4 linked regions of the Drosophila melanogaster genome follow. The protein of the gene in region 4 interacts with the protein of the main gene of each other region in a pairwise test. Each region holds a gene or a part of one and is shown on either strand. Other genes may lie near its edges. The genes, in order: CG12857, CG18563, CG6688 and Cpr67Fa2.

The links.
Region 1: the proteins of Cpr67Fa2 (region 4) and CG12857 interact in a two-hybrid assay, tested with the Drosophila melanogaster proteins (one large-scale study listed by BioGRID).
Region 2: the proteins of Cpr67Fa2 (region 4) and CG18563 interact in a two-hybrid assay, tested with the Drosophila melanogaster proteins (one large-scale study listed by BioGRID).
Region 3: the proteins of Cpr67Fa2 (region 4) and CG6688 interact in a two-hybrid assay, tested with the Drosophila melanogaster proteins (one large-scale study listed by BioGRID).

The regions. Positions count from the first base shown.
Region 1 is NT_033778.4:14,757,407-14,761,357, forward strand, and holds CG12857 (uncharacterized protein), read right to left. Parts: upstream 2,197-3,951; 5' UTR 2,151-2,196; coding exon 2,077-2,150; intron 2,020-2,076; coding exon 1,269-2,019; intron 1,214-1,268; coding exon 716-1,213; 3' UTR 501-715; downstream 1-500. Other genes in the region: Trs31 (TRAPP subunit 31), read right to left, coding at 1-144, 200-375.
Region 2 is NT_033779.5:17,456,108-17,459,672, forward strand, and holds CG18563 (uncharacterized protein), read right to left. Parts: upstream 1,938-3,565; 5' UTR 1,919-1,937; coding exon 1,763-1,918; intron 1,700-1,762; coding exon 1,649-1,699; intron 1,588-1,648; coding exon 655-1,587; 3' UTR 563-654; downstream 1-562. Other genes in the region: CG5050 (uncharacterized protein), read left to right, coding at 2,369-2,639.
Region 3 is NT_033777.3:23,010,496-23,015,999, reverse strand, and holds CG6688 (uncharacterized protein), read right to left. Parts: upstream 3,589-5,504; 5' UTR 3,487-3,588; coding exon 3,328-3,486; intron 3,259-3,327; coding exon 3,190-3,258; intron 2,085-3,189; coding exon 1,962-2,084; intron 1,850-1,961; coding exon 926-1,849; 3' UTR 525-925; downstream 1-524.
Region 4 is NT_037436.4:10,890,041-10,893,033, reverse strand, and holds Cpr67Fa2 (cuticular protein 67Fa2), read right to left. Parts: upstream 1,321-2,993; 5' UTR 1,267-1,320; coding exon 1,255-1,266; intron 1,017-1,254; coding exon 624-1,016; 3' UTR 518-623; downstream 1-517. Other genes in the region: Cpr67Fa1 (cuticular protein 67Fa1), read right to left, coding at 2,424-2,816, 2,974-2,985.

The sequences.
Region 1 (3,951 bases), on a different chromosome or scaffold from region 4:
TCTTTGCCAAAGAGATTCTTCCACACCGTGGTCTTAACAAAGAGAAGCATTTGGGTTAGTTTTGTTTCTCGCTTGGAGCTGCGCTCCCTCACGAAATACAGGTCGATTATGCGGGTGCCTACATCTTGACCCAGATCGTGGAGTCTGAAAACGCCTTGGAATTAACGAATTAATCGCAAAAACTTAGAGAAACTCCCACCTTGTTTGCAATTCTGGGACTGTAAACACTCGGCTCTGCGAGTACTGGACGATTTCGCTGAAAAGCAGCGCCACAATGCTCTGGGAAACCTCCGTTTTGCCCTTGGATAGTGGTCTGTCTAGGATGTTGCTGCGCGGACGCATCGAGGATATTTTTAGGGCCTCCAGTTTTTCCATTTTCCTGATAAATGTATCAAATTATTTTCCAAAACAATGCAAAGTGTGCACGCCACCCTATCTGCCCGAAATGCCAAAGAGCGTTGCAGAAATGGTCACACTTAAAGTTGCGACAATAATACAATAAATATTAATTATATTTATTAAACCACTTGCTTTTTTTTTAAAATGTTGATGTACATTTTAAAAAATATATTATTAAAAATATGCTGATTTGTTTCATAAATATCAAATGAACGAAGTGTACAATGTATAACAGAAAAGTGTGCCAAGTTGTTATACTAGCACAAACTGAAGCCCGCAAATTTGAATTCTAGTCGTTACTATTCAAACTCAATAGTTAATCGGCAACAAAATCGTCCGATTTTATCTTCCTTGTGCTGCAACAGTCAATCTTTTTACTCGGGTCCTGAAATATCACCTGAGACCAGTGATCTTTGGAGCATTGTTGTAATTCCGAAAGGTAATCCTCGAAGTGTTTGAAACGAATTTCCCGGGTATTGGGACAACCGACGCCGTGATAATAGCTGCACAAGCTATCGCATATCCAGTTTCGCTGTCCGGAATCACTTGCGTATTCCTCACTCTGTGCGTCATTGCCCTCCAAGGCATCCTCGTACATGCGCGACGTTATTCTCGATATGGATTCGTCGATCTTGTACTCCACCTCCGGGTTGAAAATCAGCTTCATCACCAACGGGTGATCCTCCTCCCGTCGCGCATATAGTAGATACCACAATGGCATCAGGTTGAATCGAATACAGGACATTAAACGACGTACGTGCACTTTCCTCTTGTTCCAATCGTGACCCAGCCATCGAACAGCTATAAAGAAAACCTAAGAAAAACATATAAAATGCAATAATAACTATAAATATTATGTTGAACACCACCTCAATCTCGGTGTTCACACAGATTTGATCGGATTCGAGCAAAAAAATCAGATGGGAGGTCGGCAGATCGAGGAAATCCCTGGTGGCCACAAAGGTGAGCAGAAACTTGCGGATCCTAGTCAGCATCAAATTGCGAACTACATCCATGGCGGGATTGTCCTTCGACTCGACGTATAGGACACATGCCGTATCCTCGTTGTAGTATTCCTCATCATCGAAATATTTCCAACAATGCGCCGCCAGACCAGAGATCCTCAAATAAGTGGCGGCCACATAGACCTCCACAATGTGAGCCAGCTCCAGGACGGGCTCATCGCTCAGCATCCATTTGTAGGAGAGCATAAAGGCCTTCTGGGACACGATCTTCTCGGGCAGGGTGACCAGCAGCGGAATCATCTCCAGTTCACTAAAGAAGCGAGAGTACACCTGCAGCACGATGAAGTGGCAATTGAAGTACATATTGTTGATTTCTATCTGCACAGTGGTCTTCAGATGGGACTCGAACATGTAGCGCAGCACCGTGGCCAGCCGATCCTTGCAAGGCTGCTCCAGTTTCAGCCAGCCATCGGCATCCTCGAAATTATGACCGAACTCGAAGAGGGAGCGATTCAGAGACGTGGTCTCCTCGACACCATTCTTTGATATCTTACTGAACACTCTATGCATTTCGAGATCCTCCGCCTTCGATACGAATCTCGCAATGGAGTTTATTTCATCATTGGAGGATAACTTCTCGGCACTAAGCTTGGGACTGCAAGGAGAAGGAAAATATTTTAAGATTACTCCGACTGGTTTAAGATTAACTCACTTGGTAAATAAAACGCTGCAGGTGAGTTCCTGCCTCTCGCATTTCTGTCCGTTCTGCCTCATTAGCTCCTCCATTTCGAAATTTGGTTTTCTTGTTTTGGATTTTTGACTGCACGGCTACTGTGTTTTTAAGTGTTTTAAAAAAAAAACACACTCGTAGCTTTCACATTGTTTATTAAATTGTGTTTTATTGTTGGTATTCTTTTGTTCACATTTTCAAATACATTTATATGAATAAATATATCATTTATATTACTATTTTCTTTATCCTTTTCTGCAATGACACGTTTCTTTTCAATTTAATATGAGTATATGCGGCTATTTTAACTATTTTTTCTGATTTCGATGTGAAACAATAAGGGTAAGAAAATGATACAAATTGCAAAAGGTGATATTTTATTTTAGCTAAAGTAATAATTCCGCCTTTTGATCTAGTTTTATTGTGTGTTTGAGGACGATTGCAATAATAGTTAGCTATTTTTCCATTGTGTAAGCGTGTAAATTAGAGAGTAATATAAAACGTAATTGTAAATTATAGATACATATTTAACATTTTGTACTTCTTGTTGTTGAGTGTTTTGTTTCCGTTTCCGTTTCTGTTTGATCCGTTCACGGTTCATCTTGCCTTATATTTTCAAAAATTTGCATTCCATTGATGTCCGTTTTCAGATCTTGGCTTGTATTTTCTGAGGTTTGTATCAATGTGTTTGCTGAATTTTGCACATTTAATAACAATTGCCGTATTTAGTTAATTTTTACAATAATAATGTTGCTTTTTAATGTGTTTTTTTTTTGCACAACCTTTGCTTATTTTTAATAAATATGCATTTTGTTTTTTAGTTTTCGTGTGAATTTCTTTCTTTCATGGGTTTTCTCACCGACTTAGTACAACAATAATTATATAGTAAGAAATAAATTAATGTTTTTTTTTTTATTATTTTTATATATATATATAGCTGCATATATGAGTTTGTTGACTTTTTGAAAACACTTAAATTGTTTGTTTTTTGTTTTTGTTTTATTTTTACCCCTTTGCTCAAATGCCTCCTCTTTCGGCCATTTTATAAACGGCCCAAAGTTGTTGGCATTTCAATAAAAATTACAAATTGCTTCGCATTCTAGAATTATTTAGTTGCAAAAGATTTCCAATCGAGCAATGCTGCGCTCTTTGTTTGTCCATCGACTCTCTAATTCTAATTGGTTTCTCATTCTATTTCAACGTCTGAACAAAAGATTTTGGAAAACAAACGTTTTGAGTTTGGGGCAAAAGGAATATTTTGAATCTTCATGAGCCCTAAGAAGAGACAAAAACATCCTTTTTATAAGGCAACCGAATGGGTACATAGTTCTGAACTAAAGCACATTTAAGTAACAATTGCCGAGCATAGCGAACGCACAAAACTTGAGCATTGCCGCAGACTCTTTTGCTAGAGGAGTAAATCGAATACAATTTGTAATTCTTCTTCAGGTTCGGAGAAGAACGGCTCGACAGCCGTGTCGTCGTCGTCCACTAATTCTTCTGCCGAGTTGTTGCGTGTCTCGATTTTTTTTTTTTTATTCATTTGCGCATCAGGTTGCCGTTTGTTTGAACTTTTCGTGTGAGTTTTTGAGCGCGTGACATTGATTAACAAATTGGAATCGCGCAGAGAAAATCGCATTTAAATATATTTAGTTCTCGTTTCGCCTTTGCCTTCGCCTTGGCCTTTTAATACTGTTCTCCAATTTCGAATTGTAAACAAGCAAGTGTAAAATAGCAAAAAACCCTAAACAACTAAAACTAAAACAATCATTGTATAATATTTTGATTTTTCAAAAAAATGTGTGTTCAGTTACGAATAAAAACAAATAGCCCGTTTTTACAAAACTATAATTAAGC
Region 2 (3,565 bases), on a different chromosome or scaffold from region 4:
CGAATTCTTTGGAAATATCCATTAAAGTTTTCAAAAAAAATGTTCAGATTAATTAAACTGGTAACGATCATTCCCAGGACTATACATATATATCTCACAGGATTTGATACGCTTAATTCTAGCTGTTACATACCTTTTAACTAATCGAGTTATGTATCTACCCTTTACCTTTTCGAGTAACGTGACCTGTATAACACGTAATAAAGTTTCAATATAAAAAAAATTTTTTTTTTATGTACGCATATATAAAAAAAAAACATAAAGAGGAAAGAACTACAAATATGCGTACAAAAGAATTATCATCTGAAATATGTACACATTTATATACATAACACTGACCTTAGGATGCATGGATTATCGCCGAGTGAAATGCCTATTTTTTTTCCAATTTGGGATTTTCCTAGCCACTGTCGATTTGTACTATTTTTCCTATTTTTTTGTAAATATTTAAAGCTATATAAATGCAACGCTATATATTCAGCTGAATATTATGGACATCGATTTAAAAATCTTTGCTAATATCGTCTCAAAAACCTTTTTTAATGAAAAAATTTTTAAATTTGATTTTGATTAAAAATTCATTTATTTTGTATATTTATACAATAATGCATAATCACAATCTTAATGAAGAATTGATGTAATAATCTTTAAGCGTTAGCCAAAGTATGCTATCCTATTATAAATCCAACTTCTGAACATTGCCACATTGGTGTAGATTCCCGGGAGGTCCAATCCACACCCCATGCCCCAGGCGACGATCCCAGCCTGCTCGAAGACGTGTGGATTCTCATCTCCGAGGGAGCAGAACAATGCATAACCTCCACCGCCAAAGCAGAAATCCCGGTTTATTTCACTTCGGGCGCAAATCAGACTCGGATGAAGATCAAAATTCCTGCCCAAAGTTGTATTTCTAAACTGAGCCACGCATGTCGTTCTGTCCAACACGGTTAACTCTAATTTCTTTATAATTCTCATACGGCTTTGATCATGGGAACTCACCAAGTCCCAACCGGCAACCGTACAGCGACGTCCCTCGAACGACGCTTGTCGGCTTGGCAACGTCAATACTCCAATGCGATCGTTTAGCACGAACGGTGTTTTTACGAAAATAAGAGCCACATTATTAATACCCGACTGAAAAATGAATCCTTCATGTCTCACAATCCTTTCAACAACGCGCTCCTCATACTGAATGGGTTCATTTGTTGTGTTCATGACAAACTCGCCGGCCCTAACCACAATTCTATCTTCATTCATTTTGTTCATTGTGTTGTGGGCTGCCGTTAGGATCACTTTTGGACTAATTAGTGAGCCGCCGGTCAAGTAAACTTCTTCGTAAAATAGGGCTACCACCCAGGAATATAGACCAGTCGTATTGCACCTGCCTCCTGGCTGTGTCCGTTCAGTTGGCTTTGGTTGCTCAGCTTGCGCACCATCATTTGTTGGGGCGCCCGATCCTTTAAGTGGCCAATAAGTAATGGGTACATCAGGTTCCGTAGAAACATTGTTTTGGGGCTCACTTGAGACTGTTGGTCTCGTTGGAAAATAGATAAAGGTTGGTATGTTTTCCTCTTCTGTAGAAGATGACTGAAAAGTTGAAAATTTAATATTAAACAGATTCAATTGCAATTTAAAATAATAAGCATACTGCAGACTCAGAATCGGATTCCTCATTCGGTCCGCTAGGGATATAAGGACTCTGCAAATTATGAAATATTAATTCCAAATCTGCGTACAGGGATTCTAATCAAAATATATACACCTTTATGATAATGTCACAACAGACGTGATTAAATGGGCAACTATTTAGTTTTCGACTTAGTATTAAGCACTTCTCCATAGGGACACAATACCTACAGGCTTCGCCCGAAAGGACGCAGAATAAAAGAATAGCTGCTGTGGCCACGATCGATCCCATGTTTGCTCGGGATGATTAAATTGACTGAGAGATAGAGCAAGCTTTCCGATGCTTTAGTACACTTTATATTATATTAAGTCTTATCAGTTACAAAAAAAAAAAAAAACAATATGTGAAAAGGAATTTCTGTAAACATTTTTCGAAATTTTTTCATAATTTTATAAGTCTTGTAAATTTTTATCGATTTGCAAAAAAAAAGCTTTTTGCCACGCCCAATCTAACGAGATTTCGCCGCCGAAATCTAAATTTTTTCTCATTTTATTCCCAGAATAATGATGAACTTTCGCATTCGCATTCACATTAGCTGAGTAACGGGTATCTGATACTCGGGGAACTCGACTGTAGCATTCTCTCTTGTTATATTTTTATCGTTTTGTTTAAATTATATGCTATAATTATATGCTTATATGCTATAGGCTAATCTAATTCTTATTCACTTTCCTACTTAAGGCACACTGGAGAATTGGAACAATTGCGTGAGAGTGCTCAACAAATGTCGAACGAAATCACAGAGTTGCGCCAGGAGATCAACCGAAATCGCAACGGTGTCTTCGGTGATTCCTGCTGTCGCCTCGGACTCGGACGCCTCCACGACCATGTGATTGCGCCCTTTCAAGGCAACCATATCTGGATAAAACTTCGACGCTATTCCTTTAACGTGATATATTTGTTTGCTTTGTATCTGCTGCCTGGAATGTCTCTCAAATATCGTCAAAACTAAACCTAATTAAATAAACTTTCTATAAAAATATTTTCAAACAGTTACCAAATTAATGTAATCCCCAATAATCCCCCAATAATTCCCCTATTATGGGGGAAGAGTCACAGTGCTGTTTGCGTTGGAATCGTTTGTGGTTTTCTGAAACCTATGTTAACATGCAAATGACTATTGTTAACTTGCTTAACTTTTTTTTTTTTAGTGTAATGATAAGGTAAGCCTATGGTGGGTGTTTGTAGAGCTTGACACAGAACTTTAAAACATATTTTAGTCATTGCAACTGGGTCTTTAAGGTTCTACTTAAAGGAAATCAGCTAGAAATTTACAAATTATAAATTAAGAACTTTAAAAGTAATAGAGAGATAACTTTTCCCTAACAAATGCGTAAATAATTAAATAATATATAAATAATAAATAACAAACAGAAATTGAATACGCTATCAATGCCTTTTTTATAGGCTTATTAAACTTTGGCTTTAGCAATTTTTGGAACGTCAATTAATATTGATAAGCTAAACAAAAAAATGTATAAGGTCGTTTCTGGGTATTGGTATTGGGTAGGCTAACACTAGAATATTAGAATACTAATATATTTTATACTCTTATTGTTAAATAAAATAGTTGGTGGCCTAAAAGAACACCTACTATACATATACATAAGATATATTAAGACGTCACTTTGAACGGCAGTCCACGTAGTAACGAAGCGCACCAGGAGTGTACGAAGGCTTTGATGGTAAAATCATAGTGATACACGAATCGAAAGATTGTTTTTTTTTTTACCTTTTTAAGAAGAGTTTTTGTTTCATTTTATATATAACGCAGATTCCAAAAAATAACATTAAGAAAACAATCTAAGCTCATATTTGCTAGTTTGTTTATTTTCACATATTTTGCAATGAGTATTTTGTATAATTTATATATATTTC
Region 3 (5,504 bases), on a different chromosome or scaffold from region 4:
ACAAAGCAGAAAATAAAATTCAATTAACGCGCTTAAATTAAACTGCCACTTCCTGTTTTGATGACATTTTCATGGCAGCCTCGCTCCGGCGAAGAAGCAGCGGGAGGCCATTCTGCAGCGATAGGAAGAATGCGGTTTGGAGTAACTGAAGCCTGTTGCTGGCGTTGCTCGCTCCTCCATTGATGCGGTTCGTCCGGCATCAATATTAAATGGTAAACGGCCGGCATAATGGCTGTCCAACTGCGGCTGTCATTATGGGGCCATCAGGAACCACCAGGACCAAGAAACCAGGGACTGGACAGGTTCCATGCCTGCTCCCGATGACAAATAAAGCTCATTACGCGCTTGTCCGGCATCCTTCACTTTGCCACTGATTGACCTGCATCTGCGCGTGGCGTCGCCGTCAGCAGTCATAAGTTGCACTGCACTGCGAGAAATGTTTGTACTTTGTGCCCTTGAGTATGCAGTGGGAAAAGGATTTTAGAATGAACAAGTACTCAAATAATGTTGCATATTCTATTGATCATTTGCACAAAGTCCAATTGACTTAAAATATTTTTATTCCTCTTGCGACGCTCCCTGAATGCAGTCCATCCGGACTTCATTATCGAGCTGACCAACTCGGACGCCAAATGACACAAAGTCATTGGAGCGTTCAGGAGTGATTCAATTAGAACTCAACTTGGCCAAGTTGAACTCTTCGCTGCAGTTAGCTGGACCAACTTCTTTGCATCTCCAGCGTGGGCCTTTGTCCCGGCCTGACACCCATACAATTCCTTTGGCCGGGTTCGTTTCTTTGCGCGATAAGCAACTTTGGCCAAGCAACTGGCATTTAATTTAATTAGAAAGGAAAACAGCAAGAGGGGCGGGGGGCGAATTGGGGACGCGCCTGATAAGAGGATGCTGTTGATTGAGATGCCCGAGCTCAAAGCAGACGGAAAGCGGATTTGTAGCAGCAGTTCTGGTGGAGGTCCTTTGCAGGATCCTGTGGATCCTGCAGCTTGCAGGGACAGCGGTACAACAGCGAGGCCGGCTTAGTTTGGACAACCTGCTGGGGCAAATCTTGGCTTGGAGTGACAGGAGGTATGCGAACGGGTTGCAATCCGGAAGATTCATTGATGCCCGGGCTAACGGAGGCTGGTAGCGGAGGGCCATGCAAGGATGTGGCAGAGATGTGGCTGCTGTTCGTTCCGGATTCCTCGTCAACGCCCTCGGCATTCGGCTTAACTCCTTCCTGCTGTAAATCATTCGTCGAGAGTGAAGGATGCGCCGCATTCGCGTCAAGCGTGGCATGCATTGTTGTCCTTTCGGGGGGCGTGGCTGTCACTGGCGATGTTCTGGCCGGGATTTCACTGGAGTCGCCAGCGACGTCCGTGGTATTAGTCCGCAGCAGAGTAGCGGCATTCGAGGGACTGAGGTTATCCGTCGAGTAGGCGCAGCCCTCAAGCAACTTGGTTAGGAACTTGTTCGTTGGCAGCACTGGCCTGCGCTTTCGCCAGGTGTCCTGTCCGGTTATCCTGTCCTGTCGGCCCACGACTGGCCGTGTTATCCCGGCAAAGAGCTTCTGCCGCAGCTTGTTCTCCGAGCGGCACATCTCGAAGGCGTTGGCAATGGTCAGGAAAATTTGCTCCGCCAACAGCGCTCGGCGGGGAGTGTAGAAGTCCCGGCAGACAGGACATCGCTCCGAGCGGATGCGACAGTCCACGCAGAGCAGGTGTCCGTTTTGGCACTGCATCGCCGGCGGTGAGATGGTCACCCCGCAGACAGGACACTCGACGAGGCGCAGGATGCTCTCCAGGACGAGGGACAGGCGGCGCAAACTGGTGGGCATGGGGGCGCAGCAGATGCTCTATGGATTTTTGAAAAAAATATTGTGTTAGCGCGATTTTAATGGGGAACGGATAACTGAGTGTGTTTGATGGTTTAAAGAAGGATTTCAGGACTGCAATGAAAATACTCACATTAGTATCACAGTCCTTATCACATTCACTGTTCCAACAGAGAATTGTGACGCAGTCCTTTTGACTCTTCACCATTTTGGCGATTTCAGACACTCTCAAGCCTAAAACATCGTTGCCATTTACCTGGAAATAAAATATTATAGAATTTTATAGAAAATGTCTGGAAATGTTGTTTATTTATTTTAGGAAATAAGTGCCATACAGAAAGCAAGTACCAAGTATCTAAATATTTGGATTTCCACGAGCTACCAAAGAAAACAAATGAATACCACAAAATATGGCCAACACAATTACAAATTCGAAAGCACTGCTTGCGGCTGTATCGCACGCACTGCTTGCGGATGTTAACCTTAGCTAGCACTGTTAACTCAATTGGCTGTTATCTGTTATCTGATAACTGATATTTGCTTTGAATATTTACTTCGTGCTAATTAATCTTTGTCATCAACTAGTTGTTTTACTACGTTCGAGTTGTGTCATTAGTTTTAGGGCGGGCTGTGCATTCACCAGCTGTTTCTAGTTCCCCACTCCACATCCAATAAAGTTTCTAAATAAAGTCGATGCCGAGCAATTAAGTTTTACTGCATTGCTATTTTAAGTAAACAATATCCACGAAGAACAACAAATGCGGCTACAATAGCGGCTGCAAAGTCCAGACTTGGATATATGTACGGTCCAACTTCCATAGCTCAAGCTATTCGTAATTTAAAAGACCATAGCGATTTGAATTTGTTTCTAGAAGTGCAAATCATCATATTGGAATGCTTTCCTGAATAGTACTTTTTATCTTAACTTACGATTCACACAAATTTGTAGAACTTATTGACTTGAAAACTCGCAAGTATACATAATTAGCTTTACAACAAAAACTACATTATTTTTCTAGCTGTTAGCTAACAAAAGGAACTTTTTTCTGATTATAAATATATTATAATTTTAATGGGTTCCTCAAACTCTGTTTTCTTCTATCCTAAGTGGAATGCACATAGTTGGGAACCTGAGTAGCAGTCTCAATAAGCTCTTAATAGGTTTACAAAGTAAATCCCCGCGTCGATCTATTGCATTCTTAATTTTGTAACTGGAGTTCAGGCGCAGATTGAGTTACCAATGCAGTTTAGTTACCAATGCAGTTGGTCTGCGCTGTGCATAATCCGCCAGTCCATTGCTGGCTGAGAGCTGAAAGAACTGACAACGGTGGCACCAACCTGTGGCACTAACTTCTACTCACCTCCAGAACGCAATCGCCGGGTTTCAGGCCGCAGAGAGCGGCAGGTGTGCCGGCTGCCACTTCGCAAACCTGTCGGTGTAATGGGTATATGGTAATTAGGAGGGGACGGGATCTCCAAACGATGGCCACTTTTATTACCCAGGGATAGGGATCCCATTTGCTGCGGGTCAGCTGAAATCCGTAGTTCTCCATCGCAGGTGCGGCTCTGGGAATTCTCAGTAGTCGCACGGAGGAGCCATCGCCATGCTGCCCATCTTCATTGGATGTGGAATGAAATCCTCCCGCTGATTTCCTCATTTTCGGGCTAGAAAACTCGCACAGGTGCTCGGATCGTTGTGGGCCAAAATAAAAAGCGGCTAGCGAGAGACGTGTTCAACGTGCGCTCTCAGTTGGCAAACTGTTTTTCGTCTGTCTGTTGATTTTTTTTCGAGCCAGCTGGCTGGCTGGTGTATGTGGCTGGCTGGCTGGCTGGCTGGCTGAAAAGTTGCCGAGCGGCGAGCAGTGAACATGGAGCGCTTTGGGCCGACGCAATCGGCTACGACAAACATTTTGGCCAAGCTCCCCAGCATCACACATTTAACCCCTTCCACAACTTAATGACTTTGGGCCATCTGACGCGGTGTTGTAAGTGCTCGGCGCCAAAATGTGGCTGCGGTTCAAGATCCGAGATTCGGAATTCGAGATCGGAGATCTGAGATCTGAGTTCCGAGATCCAAAGCTGACACCCAGCTGAGATCATGGAAATGAGACTTGTGGAGCTAAGTAAATATTTGAACTTTCGGGCTGGCAGCGGTTTTTGGGTGCGCTATAAAGTTGCATGTCTACGTATTGTGACACCTTCAAATATACCGAATAAATAAACAAATTCTTCAGCGATTAAGTCATTTGATAACCTGGTAAATTAGTTGGTTCGAATGTGCAGGCTGCTACAATTGTGCGGAAGTGAAATCGAGAACATGGCCAAATACAATAGTTTTCATAGAAACCTTCGGCTATTTCTCTTCGCTTTTCATGGAAACCTTCTGCTATTTCTCTTAAATTGAAAACAATAAAGCTGCGCTTATCACTTATACCATGTTTTGTTACTAGAGATTAAAACTATTAAGGTAAATATAGCAAAACAGCCCAAACAAATATAAATAGCCAAAATAAACTGAACAAGACCTGCAAATTAAGTGTTAAATTGTATATTTATACAGTTTGGTTACGGTTTTGGCACAAATCGTAATCAGATAAAATCGCTATTAGCAGTAATGCACACGAAACTTAATCAGTTTAATTCCCATTTGTTGACTTTAAAAGTTTTCCGACTTTGTAATTAAATTTGAAAATAAACAGCACTATTTTTCGGCTTAATTGCGTGTTGGCAGTGTCAAATGGCCAGTGCATTTGCGATTGAGTGGCCAGCAAGTAAACCAAAATATTATTATTCGAAATGCCAAAAGAAATTAAAACAACAACGACGAGTGTGTTGGCACCGCACTAGGGTGTCAAACGGCGATAAACATAAACAATGGGGCCCTAAATAAATAATTGGGTCTAAAACCGGCTCGTCGATTAACCCTAACAATGATAACTGATGGAAATTGGCAGCTGACAAATGGATTTGGTTTGGCATGGCCAAACCATCGACATCCATTTGACTTTCGCTTTTTTGTTGTTTTGTTATCGCCGGTTTAACTGCCATTGAGGCGGTAATTTGAGTTTGGCGCTGCTCTGGTCGTCTAAAACATTGGCCAAATAGCATTGAAATTGGTAATTTCATTTAAATTTGCGCCCAGCAAAACTGACCCTGGGCGGCATTGTGGTGCGTGGTGTGTGTGTGTGTAATTTGTTTTTGGCTTTTCAATTTGCCAGTTCAATTAGATTTGGCCAAATTTATGTGGCACGCAGAAGCGTTCGGCAGCCAAAAGCCGTCAGCAGTGTCAAAATTAGAGAATACTTACCCAGGCAATAACATCGAAATTCATGTTTCTCGGAAAGCCATCCACCTGAAAGGTAATTGACTTTTATTAATCGGCCAGCAATTAGGCCGGGCCCAAAGGCAAATGGCCAAATTCAAGTGCAATTCCGCCTCTTCACACTATTGGCTCTCGACTTGTTTGTGGCCAGTAGATGCGGTTTCCAAAAAACAAAATAAAACGATGAAAAGCTCGCTGAAGCCAAGTGCAAAGCTCTGCCCACAGGTGGCGCTCGCTTTAAGCCAAGTTAGTAGGTCTGCTGGTCAGCTGTGAAGAAGTCGAGCCTCAGTTTCTTCGCAACTCGCATTCGGTTAAGTGAGCATGCGCCGCAAGTTCCGCTGGAAAACGCGAAGT
Region 4 (2,993 bases):
CGTTAATCGTAGAGTAAGTGGGTACTTTAGATTCGATGAAAAGTTTGTAACAGGATGAAGGATCTGCGATCGATCTGCCAAGTGTCCGTACGTCTGTCTGAACTTTGAGGTCTCCGGAAATATGAAACCTACAAAATTCGAATTAAATATGCAGTTTCCAGACTTTGCTCACAAACTTCAAAAAAATGTTACGCCCACTATTTTTTAAAAATTGTTTGCTCGACTATAGCGTTTTCTCTGCTGTTTTCACACTGACTTACAATTGCATTAGTAAAAAGTTATTTTTATCGATTTGAATACCCGTTTTAAACAAAGGGTATGAAACAGAAATTGTTAAATTGTTGTTATAGATGATGGTTTTTCTTGATTATGATCGTTAAATGTCCTTCAATCATATCCTTGGATTTATGATGCTAAGGAGTTGGGATTTATTTTTTTGATATTCCCCACGGTTATTTTTTGAATTCTGATCTTGGTCCATGTAAACCTAAGCAACGCAAATTTGACTTTTAAGATTGTTTTCTTTACATCTTCGACGTTTATTTCATTTCTACATTTACATTTTTACGATTCGTAATAAAGCTTTTCATATGTATGTTGGCACATTCTAGTCCCGATTTCGATTAACCAAAGACCTTCTTGAGGGCGGGCCTGCGGTACTCCTGCTCGACATACTGGGGATGGGTACGGATGTACTCCAAGCTCCTAAGGATGGCAGCTGGGATTGGGGGAGGAGTGGGCAGGAGAGCTCCCTGTGGCTGGTAGCCGTTCTCGTCGGCCACGTACGAGATCTGGACGAGCTCACCCTCTGGCGAGTACCACGAGAAGCCTCCGTTGGCGTGGTTTCCACCAATTCCGGACTCCTGGGCGGCGATGCCGTTGCTGGTCTCGTACTGGTAGTTGTAGTTGCCCTCGGGCTGGATGTCGGAGCCGATCTTGGTGATGTAGGCACCAGCTTCCTGGTTGTAGGTGGCGGCACCGTAGGCGCAGGCCAGGACGGCGGAGGCGACGAGCATCTAGAAGACAATGTTATTATTGCAATTTGGTTTTTGATGAAATTTCCAATGTCTTGAAAGGCCAATTCTATCCATGGTATCTAAGTCCGGTAACTGTTTTCTATTTTACTTATTTTTTGTGTTAATCCTTATCGTTAGTATAAACTATTTATTATATTGGTTAATATTTTGATATTTTTAGTGTCACTAATTGTCGTTTTCCACTGCTGTGCTATAGTTATCCTTGCGATATACTTACGTAGCGGAACATATTGGCTGATTTGGAGGAGTTCGTGTGTCTGCGACTAAGAGACGACTCTGAATGATGACTCTGTGGCGGGGCAGCAATGTTTTATACGAATTCTCGATACGAAACCCGATCCACCCAAACAACTTTTACGGCAGACGGCAGGAAACTCATATGAATGACAATGGCCAAACTGAGATTGATCAAACTGGAGCGGCTTAAAAAGGTAAAGAGCCAAAAAACGCACTTAAATTTGGCTCTTAACTTTTGCATAAGTATTCATCTGGCAAGATAGTTATATTTAACATCAAATTATGCATATATTAAAAAAGTCATATTCACATATATTTTAATAGTATCTAATAAGTTTTAATTAAGAATTAACATTTTTTAATTGATTAAATTCAACAATCGATCCTTATAAAGTATTATACGATTTATTTCACCAAATTATGGTACAAAATATTAAAGATGAGATAATCAACTCGTTATCATTTTGAAATGAGCAGATTAATTAAACAGATTAAAAGGGCAGTTTAATAAACTAAACCCATGATACTACTGGTAAAACTCTATTTTTTAAGTAAGCAATTGTTTTTGATTAGTTATCTAAAATATATTTGTTCATTTTAAAGGCCATAAAAATAAACAGTTCAACCTGTGTCGCAATAAGGGAACATATTTTATTTAAATAAGTGGTGTCAAGTAGATGGTATTGGTCGGAATAAGTACTACAGATCGTTTTATAGGGCAAGTACCCCTATAATTTCAAGGACTTGATAGTTAATTTCTGCTCGACAACGGATGGAAAGTTTGTGGTATTTAATTTGGTTCTTAAAATCTGACATAGAATTGCCTGTATATTCGCACTATAAAACAAATAGGAAGGTAAAGTAAGCATATCCTTAAAAAAATAGTTTTAACAAGAAAATTTGAGAAAATTGAAATATTAATATAGGTAATAATAAAGGTGCAATTGAAATATGTTTGCTACGTTTCCTCGTGGGATCTTAAACCATATTTCATATATTAAGCACCCATTATTCTAGTTCATCCAAAATGTTTGAAATAGTTTAAACAAACATAGATTTATGTAATTTTTTTCTTCTTTATTTTAAAACATTTTTTAAATCGTAATAAAGCTCTTTTAAAATGTTATCACATAAGACTTCCGCTCCCGCTTAACCAAAGACCTTCCTGAGGGCGGGCCTGCGGTACTCCTGCTCGACGTATTGGGGATGGGTGCGGATGTACTCCAAGCTCCTAAGGATGGCAGCTGGGATTGGAGGAGGAGTGGGCAGGAGAGCTCCCTGGGGCTGGTAACCGTTCTCGTCGGCCACGTACGAGATCTGGACGAGCTCACCCTCGGGCGAGTACCACGAGAAGCCTCCGTTGGCGTGGTTTCCTCCAATTCCGGACTCCTGGGCGGCGATGCCGTTGCTGGTCTCGTATTGGTAGTTGTAGTTGCCCTCGGGCTGGATGTCGGAACCGATCTTGGTGATGTAGGCACCAGCTTCCTGGTTGTAGGTGGCGGCACCGTAGGCGCAGGCCAGGATAGCGGAGGCGACGAGCAGCTATAAAAGCAGGTGGATCCCAGTCAGTTACAAATTGATCATAGACGTTTTTGGATTGAGTCCATAGGAGTTTAAAATATTTTAAGATGTTTAAAATATCTTAAAGAATTCTAAACACAACTCGTTTTAGGTCGAAGTAAATATCCTTTTGACTTACGTAGCGGAACATCTTTGCTG